Xenopus tropicalis: one gene and its partners. The protein of the gene in region 2 binds, or shares a complex with, the protein of the main gene of each other region. Links are inferred from orthologs where the notes say so. Each region holds a gene or a part of one and is shown on either strand. Other genes may lie near its edges.

Region 1 (3,656 bases), on a different chromosome or scaffold from region 2:
GCAAAATACCGATCATTACGAAAAAAACGCAATCGGACGCATTCGGCCCGTTCGTGGCTTAGTAAATGTGCCCCTATGACTTGGTTCTAGTAAAAGAGGGTCCTGTAGAAGAGGGTATACTGCCCCTTTAATACAAACGTTTACTGATATACAGGAACGTAGGGGTCTTGTGTAGAAAAAAAATGTTACAGCTTCCTTATAAAGAAAATTATCGTTTCACAATGAATGAAGACATCAAGAGGTTCCAATCTACATTACATGCCAAATGTACTTCTAAATAAAACCTGTTATCAGAGAATGTTTCTGTTTTTTTGCAATCCTGTTTAATATACAGTAGGGCTGATTCACTAAAGTGCGATAAAATTTATCGCACACTTTTTTTCGTTAAATTAGACGCGATAATTAGCGCGATTATGCAGCTGCCAGTTTGCAGCGAAATGGTCATTTTTAATACAGTAATTTTCCACAAGTATTGGCGTGTATGGCTAACATGGCGTGCGTTTATTCGCACGACTATTTATATGCGGCTACAAGTGATGAAATGTTTCGGCAGGCATGGATTCGCAGCGAGTTTTTGGACGTGCAGCGAATTTTTCCGCGGCAAATTTTTTCATGCGTTTCGCAAAACAATCTGCCAATGGCAAAATGCATGAAAAAATTTGGCACGCAAAAATTCACCGCACATCCAAAAATTGACACAGGCGTCAAAAAATATTAGTCACGGGCAACAATTTTTTTGCCCGCACAACATTTTTGCCGTTTCGTGGATCTTTCAAAAGATTTGCTAATTTTTCACTAAAGATAACCAGAACACATTTGCTCATCACTAGTGGCTACTATTTATAAGCATCTACTATTTATATGCTACCATTTATATGCTACCATTTATATGCGGCGACAATTTATATACACTATTTATATGCGGCGACAATTTTTATACACTATTTCTAAGCTACTATTTATATGCGGTGCGTTATTTAGCGCATGTACCGGCAAATACTGCATGGAAATAGTCTTTGCGAGTTAAATAACGCATGCAATATCGCGCGTAAAATAGCGCAAGTATGCTTATAGTGAATCGTGCGAAAAGTTGCGAAAATTAAGACGCGATAAAATTTTTAACGCACGCTATAAATAGCGCACGTTTTATCGCACTTTAGTGAATCGGCCCCAGTATCTCCTACTCAAACTTTAATTTTTAAAGCAATGCTTGCCATAGATTTATTTTCCCTAACATACACAACAAAACATGAGCACAGTAAAATGTAGTAATAAAGGAATGTCATCCATGTTTGACACATCCAAGATGTTTTACAACCTTCTTGCAAACTCACACCATGGTTCCATGTATCTGCACAGACAGGAGGCCCCTTGCCACAAGAGAAAAGCAGCACACAAAGAGAAAGCTGGGTGAGAAATGGGACAAGAAATGCAATGGCCAACCACCGCCTGCATCAGAAGATTGGGTACCTGCTCCCTAGGAAATCCACGTGCAAGCTGCAACAACTTACCTCTCTTGGCACCAGAAAGCAGGGCAATTAAACCTTAAACAACAGCCACTCATCCCCACTGACTCAAATGGAGGCAGGGGAGTGCACCACACAGCAGCAGCATGCTAAGATAACCAGCAGAGCAATAGGTGCTTCATTGCATCAATAAGGGTAAGCAAGCATTTTTTGATGGTTTTACAATTGTCTTGTACACAAGGTACATTTTTAAGACAATTTTACTTATTTTGACAAATAAAGTCTTTTACTTACTAACATAGTTTAGAAGCATCTATCATCCCCTTTAACATATATAACTGTTATTAACACATTAAAGTTCTTCTAATCCCATAATCTTACCAGAGCTAAAAGACTGAAGACTGCTATAGGAGCTGTACAGAGAATGCGGAGTGTTATCAGTGTATGGGATACCGGTTGATCCCGGCAGGGTTGATAGGCTCAGACTTTTTTCTGATATGTTGAGTTGTCTCTTGCCAGCAAGCTGTGGGGAAGAATAATATATGTCACTGGGGATCAGTTGCACAATTATATTTAATATAGAACTGTAAGACTATAGGACATCACAAAATGTGTTAAAAAAGGCCATCCTGTGAATCATATGTGGTATTGCATTTATAGTATACTAATCTAGTTTGCCAGCAATAAAGTGTTAAAACTGACTAAATATTTTTGAAATATTTCTATTCTAAATGACATGATTCCCCCTTAACATGACTTATAAACTGGAAATTCTTACTGTTACTGACACACAACACCATGAATATGCTTGGCTAAGAGAGCTGGCTGTGTCTGTCACTCTGGGCTGGGCAGGGCAAGGCAAGGCAGGATCCTAATGTTAACATAACTCCATCCTATTGGAGAATCACATTGCCACCAGCCCAGCCTGAAAGACAGAAGGACACAGCAAAGTATGGTTGGACTGTTGGTATGCGTTTGAGCCTGAGGGGTAGCTTAGGGTGGTTTCCCAAAAGGTAGGGTGTTTCTTTAAAAATTCTCAGATTCTTTAAGTCTGTTTTAATTGCAGGTAACCTTACTTTCGGATACCCTAAACCTGATAGTGTGATTGATTGAACTGCAAATTAATAACAAAGATACATTGGATTACACTATGGTATATTCTGCTTGGTCCCTTACTTGAAATAGGAGAAGACCTATTTTTAATGTAAATTGTAAGCTAGATTGATACACTTGGTAACCGATTTTGAAAAGTAGCCTTTAAAAGAGGCAGAGTGCAAAAAACAGGTCTGCACCCTTACCACAGAAAAGAAGACAACAAATTCAGTTGTATACACTGGGGTTATGTAGTGATGCAAAATGGTATTTGTCCAGGTACCCAGCTGTACATTTACCCGATTAGTGGGCGTTATACTACTATCTAGTTTCCCAAACCAGGATGTATATTGCTCGTATCAGTTTGTATAACTGAAATAAATGTTAGTTATTAACTGAATAGAAAAATCATGTTTTTTTCTTTTCTTAAATAATTATTATGTGAGCAGGCTCAGCAGAGATGACCAATCCTGTTATAATGCCTTTTGCACAAGATTTTTAAAAAGTTAGAGGCTTAAAAATTCAAAGAGAATGATCATACAATAGGACAGATCTAGCCCTGGTGCAGTAGAAAAACTTAGTTAAAAGGTGCTAAACAGGAAAACAGCTATTCCTCTAGCACTCAGCAGTTCCCAGTAACATAAGAAATAAAAAGAATTCAACAGTCATGTAAAAACACTTTCTGTTCTGCGATATGTTTCATGTTCAAGGTTCACATGTTTTCTTGATCTTCTTACCACAGATGTGTCAATCTGAGCCAAAAGCCTGGGATTATTCTGTTCTACGGCCTCAAGACACTGGAACATTGCAGCAACATGAGCCTCACTCAGTAAAAAGGCAGATTCTGGAGAAAACAGATACATTTGAAAATATAAAAACATAGCTAATAAAGCTAATGCCCCACGGAGGGATCAGTCACCTGTGATAAATCTCTGCTACCGCGGGCGACTTATCTCTCCTAAATGCCTTTCCACTGGCAACAAAGTAAATCGCCAATGGAAAGGCATATGTGTTGCTTCTTTTTCCAAAGTTACACAAAGTTGCCTACAGGAGGAAACTTTGCCAGACTTAGGAAAAACACACTTTGCTGCCAGTGGA
Region 2 (3,656 bases):
ACCCTGGGTGAAACTGGGTGCTGAGCTTGCAAAGGATTATGGGATATGCAGCCTTTCTGCTTAGAGCCTTCAGTGGGACACAGGACAATTAAAATGGTTTATTTCGGATCATGTAATAGGTTAATTATACACAACGACTGTAAAATGAACCAAACAAAAAGAATGGTCTCCCCACAAGACACAAAAAAATAGAAGTTCAAACAGTATGCTTTTAATGTTAACCACTTTGCACCCACAGGGGCTCGCAAAACTACTGCAGGCCACTTGGTAACACAGGGGTTAAAACACGCGGGCGTATAGTCCCCCCCCCCAAAAAAAAACTGATGAGAAAAACCATGGTGTTCTGCGTATGATACAGGTGTCAGTATCCGTTTGGATCGATGTCTGGGAGCTGGAGAGGGTGCAGATGATTAATATTTATCCTTTACACTGTGGGCGGGGAGGGAAGGGGTCTTGTGTTCGAAGGCCTAAGTGTGATATCGGTTAGTGAAGGACTCCCGCTTCGCCCTCCCTTCGCTTTCAGCAGCTGCAGCTCTCGGCAGAGGCCTTTGCTCTGTCATTTTTGTCCAATTTGATGGGTTCCGGGAATTCATTGTACAGCTCCACCTCTGTCTCCTGGCAGAACAAAACGGGCTCAGTTAGTAACATGTTTTCAATTTCCACATGGGGAATCTACAGTGCTAGCAGCAGTAATGCCATGTCAGCTCTGTAGGCTCCACAGCATTTAAGGGCTAAGTAAAATACAGGGTGTTTTACGCACCATTAAAGTACAGCCAAGTGACTATAATTTAAGCCCATAAGGCATAAGCACAGGGTACCATCCTGCTGCATCTTTCCAGGACCCCCTGCATCACCCTGGGCAAACACATGCACAGTACGTACCAGCTTCTATCATTACTGTACTGTGCACCATGCAAATGCCAGAGGGGTTGCTGTAAGATGCCATAGACACTCACTATTTATTGGGCTGGGGGGGCCTCTGTGTACCAGGGCCTATTTTGAATCTTAATCCATGACTTGATCACTGGGGGATGTCTTATGAACTGGAAAAACCCAGGTAATGTGGGCTTTGGCCTCTTTCAAATCACCACTTACCTTCTCTGTTCCTCTAAGACAAGGATCCCCAACCTTTCTTACTTGTGAGCCACAGTCAAATGTAAAAAGACTTGGGGAGCAACACAAGCACCATAAAAGTTCATGGAGGAGCCAAATAAGGGCTGTGATTGGCTATTAGGGGCCTCTATACTGTGTGAGCTTAAAAAAAAACAAAAAAAAAAACCTAAACCCTAAACATGAATAAGGCTAGGAAGGCCATATTTTATATACTGAACATATTAAACTAGCCTAATCTAGTCTATCTATATAGTAGTAAATATTCAGGCCTTCAAAGTTGTTACAGGAGGTCACCATACTGGAATGTGATTTGTTACAAGCTAAGCTTAGAGGTTGTGGCAAATTATCAAGCAGAAAATGGGGATTATCTTCATAGAAGCTGCTGCTACAGGGCTTTTTTTTCATTTCTAATGCTAATTGCACTGGTTTGAGAAATACCATGCACTTAATCTGCATTATTTACAGATCTTCCCTGCTAAAGGGTTGTGTTGTTGCCTTGGGCTGGTACAGAACCTCAAACATAGGGGCATATATATATATATATATATATATATATATATATATATATATATATATATATATATATATATATATATATATATATATATATATATATATATATATATATATATATATATATATATATATTATAGTGCGTAAGCCAACATCACCAGTGATGGAAAGAGGTAATGTGTAAAATGACGTAGAACAGAAATGAGGGTGTCCCACCATAAACAAACTATAGTTCTCCAGTTTCCCCACTTACAGTTCAGCTGTGGCTGCTGGGACTGCAGGATAAAATGTTGGTTATCCATTTTTTTTTCTAGATTGTTTCATAGCTTTGAAGAGATGCAATATAAAATAGCCCAACAGCCCCACTGACTCACCAGCAGAGGGAGCCACTTCATTACCTGTTTAAGTGCATTCCGTGCAATCGTTTGAAAAGCCTGTTCCACATTTATAGCTTCCTTTGCGCTGGTTTCAAAATATGGGATGTTGTTTTTGCTATGGCACCACACCTGTGCTCGCTTTGTGGTTACCTGTATGGGGCGGAAGACAGAAAGGATACCATTCTGAATCAGTCTCAGGAATGAAAGCCTGGGAAAGCACACACCATAACAATCCATTGTTACCATCAAGCATTTGTAAGTGCCAATATACTCTGCAGCTGTTTAATTAGGAGCTGACAGGAATATGCAACCATTGGCTCTTACCCTGTAGCAAATCCACTACTCATTGCTCCTGCTGGGGAAGCTGGGAAATGTAGTTGTGCAGTTGTGTAACAGTGTTAGATGGGCCTATACATGCAATATATCTATGCACTAATATATAGCAATAAAAGGTTACTGCTTTGGGAGAACAATTAGAACTCTCTATATTTATCAAAATGTATTTATAAAACCTGAGCTATATCAGAATATAATATACAGTTTGTTCATTTCCCTACGGGACCAAACTGTAAACTATATCCTTATAAAAAGGTGCTTATTGATGTCATCAGTTAATCGTAGCTTAGTGATGTAATTTGTCACGTCACTCGCTGAAACTTGTAAGTAAAATATGAGGATATTAGCAGTCACCTCCGAGTTCCATCACATGTATAAAAGTACTCAGCCTTTGGCCTTGTACCTTTTTATGGTCATGGAGCTCCTTGGTGGCTTATAATATCCCTATATTTTACAAAAGGGGGGTACATTATTCACTATATAATGGGTTAGTATCAAGAAGGTACTTACTTGTCTGTTCTCGAGGTCTACCTTATTTCCCAGCACAACAAAGGGAAAGTTCTCAGGGTCCCTTGGGCTCGCCTGAATGAGGAATTCGTCTCGCCAACTGTCCAGAGTCTTGAAAGTGTTGGGAGCAGTGACGTCATAGACCAGCACGCAGCAGTCGGCCCCTCGGTAGAAAGCTACCCCGAGGGATTGGAACCTTTCTTGTCCAGCTGTGTCCCATATCTAAACAGCCAAAGAGAAAAAGAGATAGAAGTATATCTTGGATTATACCAAGTAGATATAATGAAGACAATAAAGAGATTGCACCCAAACTTGTGGCAGGATATAGAGGCCCAGGGGCATAAGCAAATACCCTGAGGAGTTGTTGACATGAAAATGGGGGCTGTACCCCATATGCACCTATTGTACCCTACTGCACAGCTGTACCACAGGATAATGCCAAAGGCAATAAAAGGTTGTTGTGTCCCAGTTTAGGGGATCCCTTTGCACACATTTGTTTGGTTCCTTCACCGGCTTCATTACTAACCTTTTAGAACAGTGCTTCACCCCATGGTGCCTAATATCGCCCAAGATAAACTGCCAAATACACTTGTTATTTTAGTAGCAGAGAAAAAAATGATTAATGTGCTTTTGTCACAATGAACGTGTTGCCATGGATACCAGAAATAAAGCCGTAAGAGTGAGTAATAACTCTAGTCCTGAATCGTGCACTTTGCACCATTCATTGCACTCTCATTTACAGGTTGGGTTTAAAAACTGCCCCTCCCGCTTGAGGGAAATGTGCCAAGACCGCCTCTGTTCCAGTGTAAG
Region 3 (3,656 bases), on a different chromosome or scaffold from region 2:
TAATAAAATGCAAGAGTCGAATGAGTACAGAAAAACATAGAATACTGGAGGATAAAGGTTTCAGGAGGATAAACATACATGGAGCAAGAGAGTGTGAAAAGGAATTGAAAATTTACAGAGAAACAAATGTCTCCGTGCAGTGAGGGGAGAGTTGCGTGTATAAAGAAGGCAGAGGAAGGCAGAAAACACAAGCTAACAGAGCTGTAGTATGGGGCCAGAAAGAAGAGGCAGTCGATAAAGAGGGGAGAGAAAGGTACGAGAATGGGGAACTGTCAGCGCGCAGTTCCGCTCATTGTGTTTAACAGATTCAGGTCAGACTGAATAGGGCGCGACTCACACCGCAGGAGAACAGGATCGGTTGTCATCAAAAATTCCTCCGTGTCGCTGTCGGACGCCATGAGATAGGGGCAGGCGGTTTGGATCCGGCCTGCTCTTAATACTGTTTGGGCTGAGAGGCCTCACTGGGCGCTGCTCCCCGGGGGCGCTGGCCGGCCCATCATTCAGGCTACAGGCTCCTGCTGACAGGCCAAGGCAAGGGAATAGGGGGGCCAGCGTACGCAGCAAAACACAGGCCAGTCTCGCGAGCGCAACGGATGCCGGACAGGGGGGTTGGGGGATGTGCGAGCGCAACCAATGCCGGACAATTAAGGTGCATCTTCAAATTCTTCTATTCCATATACTCGAGTATAAGCCGAGGGTGGCTTTTTCAGCCCATTTTTGGGACTGAAAAACTCGGCTTATACTCGAGTATATACGGTAAGTGCAAAGTGGGGTGTGCGTAATTATTCAGCCCCCTGAGTCAATACTTTGTAGAACCACCTTTTGCTGCAATTCCAGCTGCCAGTCTTTTAGGGTATGTCTCTACCAGCTTTGCACATCTAGAGACTGAAATCCTTGCCCATTCTTCTTTGCAAAACAGCTCCAGCTCAGTCAGATTAGATGGACAGCGTTTGTGAACAGCAGTTTTCAGATCTTGCCACAGATTCTCCATTGGATTTAGATCTGGACTTTGACTGGGCCATTCTAACACATGGATATGTTTTGTTTTAAACCATTCCATTGTTGCCCTGGCTTTATGTTTAGGGTCGTTGTCCTGCTGGAAGGTGAACCTCCGCCCCAGTCTCAAGTCTTTTGCAGACTCCAAGAGGTTTTCTTCCAAGATTGCCCTGTATTTGGCTCCATCCATCTTCCCATCAACTCTGACCTGCTTCCCTGTCCCTGCTGAAGAGAAGCACCCCCAGAGCATGATGCTGCCCCCCCATATGTGACAGTGGGGATGGTGTGTTCAGAGTGATGTGCAGTGTTAGTTTTCCGCCACACATAGCGTTTTGCATTTTGCCCAAAAAGTTCCATTTTGGTCTCATCTGACCAGAGCACCTTCTTCCACATGTTTGCTGTGTCCCCCACACGGCTTGTGGCAAACTGCAAATGGGACTTCTTATGGTTTTCCGTTAACAATGGCTTTCTTCTTGCCACTCCATAAAGGCCAACTTTGTGCAGTGCACGACTAATAGTTGTCCTATGGACAGATTCCCCCACCTGAGCTGTAGATCTCTGCAGCTCGTTCAGAGTCACCATGGGCCTCTTGGCTGCATTTCTGATCAGCGCTCTCCTTGTTCGGCCTGTGAGTTTAGGGGGACGGCCTTGTCTTGGTAGGTTTACAGTTGTGCCATACTCCATTTCTGAATGATCGCTTGAACAGTGCTCCGTGGGATGTTCAAGGCTTTGGAAATCTTTTTGTAGCCTAAGCCTGCTTTAAATGTCTCAATAACTTTATCCCTGACCTGTCTGGTGTGTTCTTTGGACTTCATGGTGTTGTTGCTCCCAATATTCTCTTAGACAACCTCTGAGGCCGTCACAGAGCAGCTGTATTTGTACTGACATTAGATTACACACAGGTGCACTCTACTTAGTCATTAGCACTCATCAGGCAATGTCAATGGGCAACTGACTGCACTCAGACCAAAGGGGGCTGAATAATTACGCACACCCCATGGAATCATGTATGATTTTCGTTCCACTTCTCACGTGTACACCACTTTGTATTGGTCTTTCACGTGGAATTCCAATAAAATTGATTCATGTTTGTGGCTGTAATGTGACAAAATGTGGAAAAGTTCAAGGGGGCCGAATACTTTTGCAAGCCACTGTACAATAATGGTTAAGTGAAAATGAGTTAGGAGATATAATACATCAAAAGTAGAACCACTATGAACATTAAGTCATTTTGCTTAACAGTATGGATGCACATTTTGTTACGTGAAATTATTTACCCTTTAAAAGTAAAGAATACTTTGTGTACTGTTCCATTTAACAATAGGAAGTAGATACGTAAATAGGAAAAAAATTTTGCTTTTGTTGAATATTCCATCTATCTATAGGTGTAAATATACACAGGTGCAGTAACACACAGCAACCGATGATTCAAAACTTACTAGACTGACAAGGTAATTGCCGATATGCTGCTATGGCTTACAACACTGCTGCAACATGACCTATATTAGTAAATTTAAGCCTGCCACTCAGCAGAAAGGATTACTGATAGAACTTCTCATCTGCCTTACTCTACATAAGCATGTCATGGAAACGATTCCATGCTTCAGGGCAAATAATGCTAAGAATATTAGAGTATTTTATTTATGACAAGGATAATTTAACTAAAGCATTTTAGATAGGTTTCTAAAAATAGCGTCAGTAGCAGAGACATTTTCAACTACAGGGCAGTACAGGCTCATTGCCATTGGACATAAAGTGAAACAGCAAATATTTAGTCTGGAGTGTGAATTAAATGGGTGGTTCATCTTGGTATGTTATAAAACGGCCAATTCTAAGCTACTTTTCAATTGGTCTTCATTATTTATTTTTTATAAAGGTCATTTTACCTTCCTTTGATTTGCGCTCAGCCAACTGACCAAGAAGTTCCTGGTTCTCTTCTGTGAGCTGGGACAGCCGATTCTGTAGAACATGCTCCTTTTTCTGAGCTTCAAGCAGCTGCTCCTGGAGATCCTACACAGGGGGAGTACAGTGAAGATGAACTGTTGTGAACTATATTTATTACACCCACAGGAACAGAATATACTAAGGGCTACAAACTTATTCAAGCTCACAAATGCAGGGGAATTGATGGTAGTATACAGCGTGTCAATATATTATTTCCAGTACCAACGGACATTTCATTTTTTTTATAATTTATAGTTTAATTATCTACATTTCTCCAGTTTGCAGTTTCAGCATCTATCTGGTTGCTAGTGTCCAAACTAGGTTTTGAATGAGAGACTGGTATATGAATAGGAGAGGACCTGAATAGAAAAGTAACCCCCATTTGAAAGTTGGAAAGAGTCAGAAGAAGGCAGCAAATAATTTAAAAACCCCAAAAAATAAATAATGAAGACCAGATGAAAAGTTGCTTAGAATTGACCATTCTAAAAGTTAACCTAAAGGTGAACCACCCATTTAAGAAATGTAATTCCCTTTCTGTATATAATCATTTTAATACCAAATAACCAGTATTATATTCCACAAGTTTAAAAAAAAAAAAAAAAAAGTCCAATAGCATTAAATTCTGTATTTAAAAAAAACATAGATAGACTATGCAACAAAGACTACAGACTCTCTGTGAAACCCACTAAAGATTTGACTACAAGGTCACAGAATAA

What was found.
Region 1: the proteins of rab7a (region 2) and rubcn are in contact, whole or in part, in a crystal structure (PDB 6WCW), measured with the Homo sapiens proteins. The link is inferred for Xenopus tropicalis from reciprocal best matches to the Homo sapiens genes RAB7A and RUBCN. Residues at the interface, in NP_004628.4 of Homo sapiens: Ile41, Gly42, Ala43, Asp44, Trp62, Gln71, Ser72, Leu73, Gly74, Val75, Ala76, Phe77, Arg79, Ser101, Asp104, Glu105, Ile108, Gln109, Ser111; in NP_055502.1 of Homo sapiens: His818, Asn821, Met822, Lys824, Thr825, Arg827, Leu883, Gln885, Ala886, Lys887, Gly888, Phe889, Ile890, Glu892, Gln895, Glu897, Ile900, Pro903, Cys915, Lys916, Arg931, Arg934, Arg938.
Region 3: the proteins of rab7a (region 2) and rilp are in contact, whole or in part, in a crystal structure (PDB 1YHN), measured with the Homo sapiens proteins. The link is inferred for Xenopus tropicalis from reciprocal best matches to the Homo sapiens genes RAB7A and RILP. Residues at the interface, in NP_004628.4 of Homo sapiens: Ser3, Lys6, Leu8, Ile41, Gly42, Ala43, Asp44, Phe45, Leu46, Thr47, Thr58, Trp62, Ser72, Leu73, Val75, Leu182, Tyr183, Asn184, Glu185; in NP_113618.2 of Homo sapiens: Phe248, Glu249, Leu252, Gln253, Arg255, Asn256, Lys259, Ala260, Phe263, Leu264, Glu267, Glu268, Tyr271, Arg274, Glu275.

What each region holds. Positions count from the first base shown.
Region 1 is NC_030681.2:101,932,229-101,935,884, reverse strand, and holds part of rubcn (run domain Beclin-1-interacting and cysteine-rich domain-containing protein), read right to left. Parts: intron 3,403-3,656; coding exon 3,296-3,402; intron 1,990-3,295; coding exon 1,848-1,989; intron 1-1,847.
Region 2 is NC_030680.2:135,623,974-135,627,629, reverse strand, and holds part of rab7a (ras-related protein Rab-7a), read right to left. Parts: intron 3,069-3,656; coding exon 2,850-3,068; intron 2,154-2,849; coding exon 2,025-2,153; intron 616-2,024; coding exon 520-615; 3' UTR 1-519.
Region 3 is NC_030678.2:45,632,706-45,636,361, reverse strand, and holds part of rilp (rab-interacting lysosomal protein), read right to left. Parts: intron 3,007-3,656; coding exon 2,883-3,006; intron 1-2,882. UniProt on the Homo sapiens protein: Rab effector playing a role in late endocytic transport to degradative compartments. Involved in the regulation of lysosomal morphology and distribution.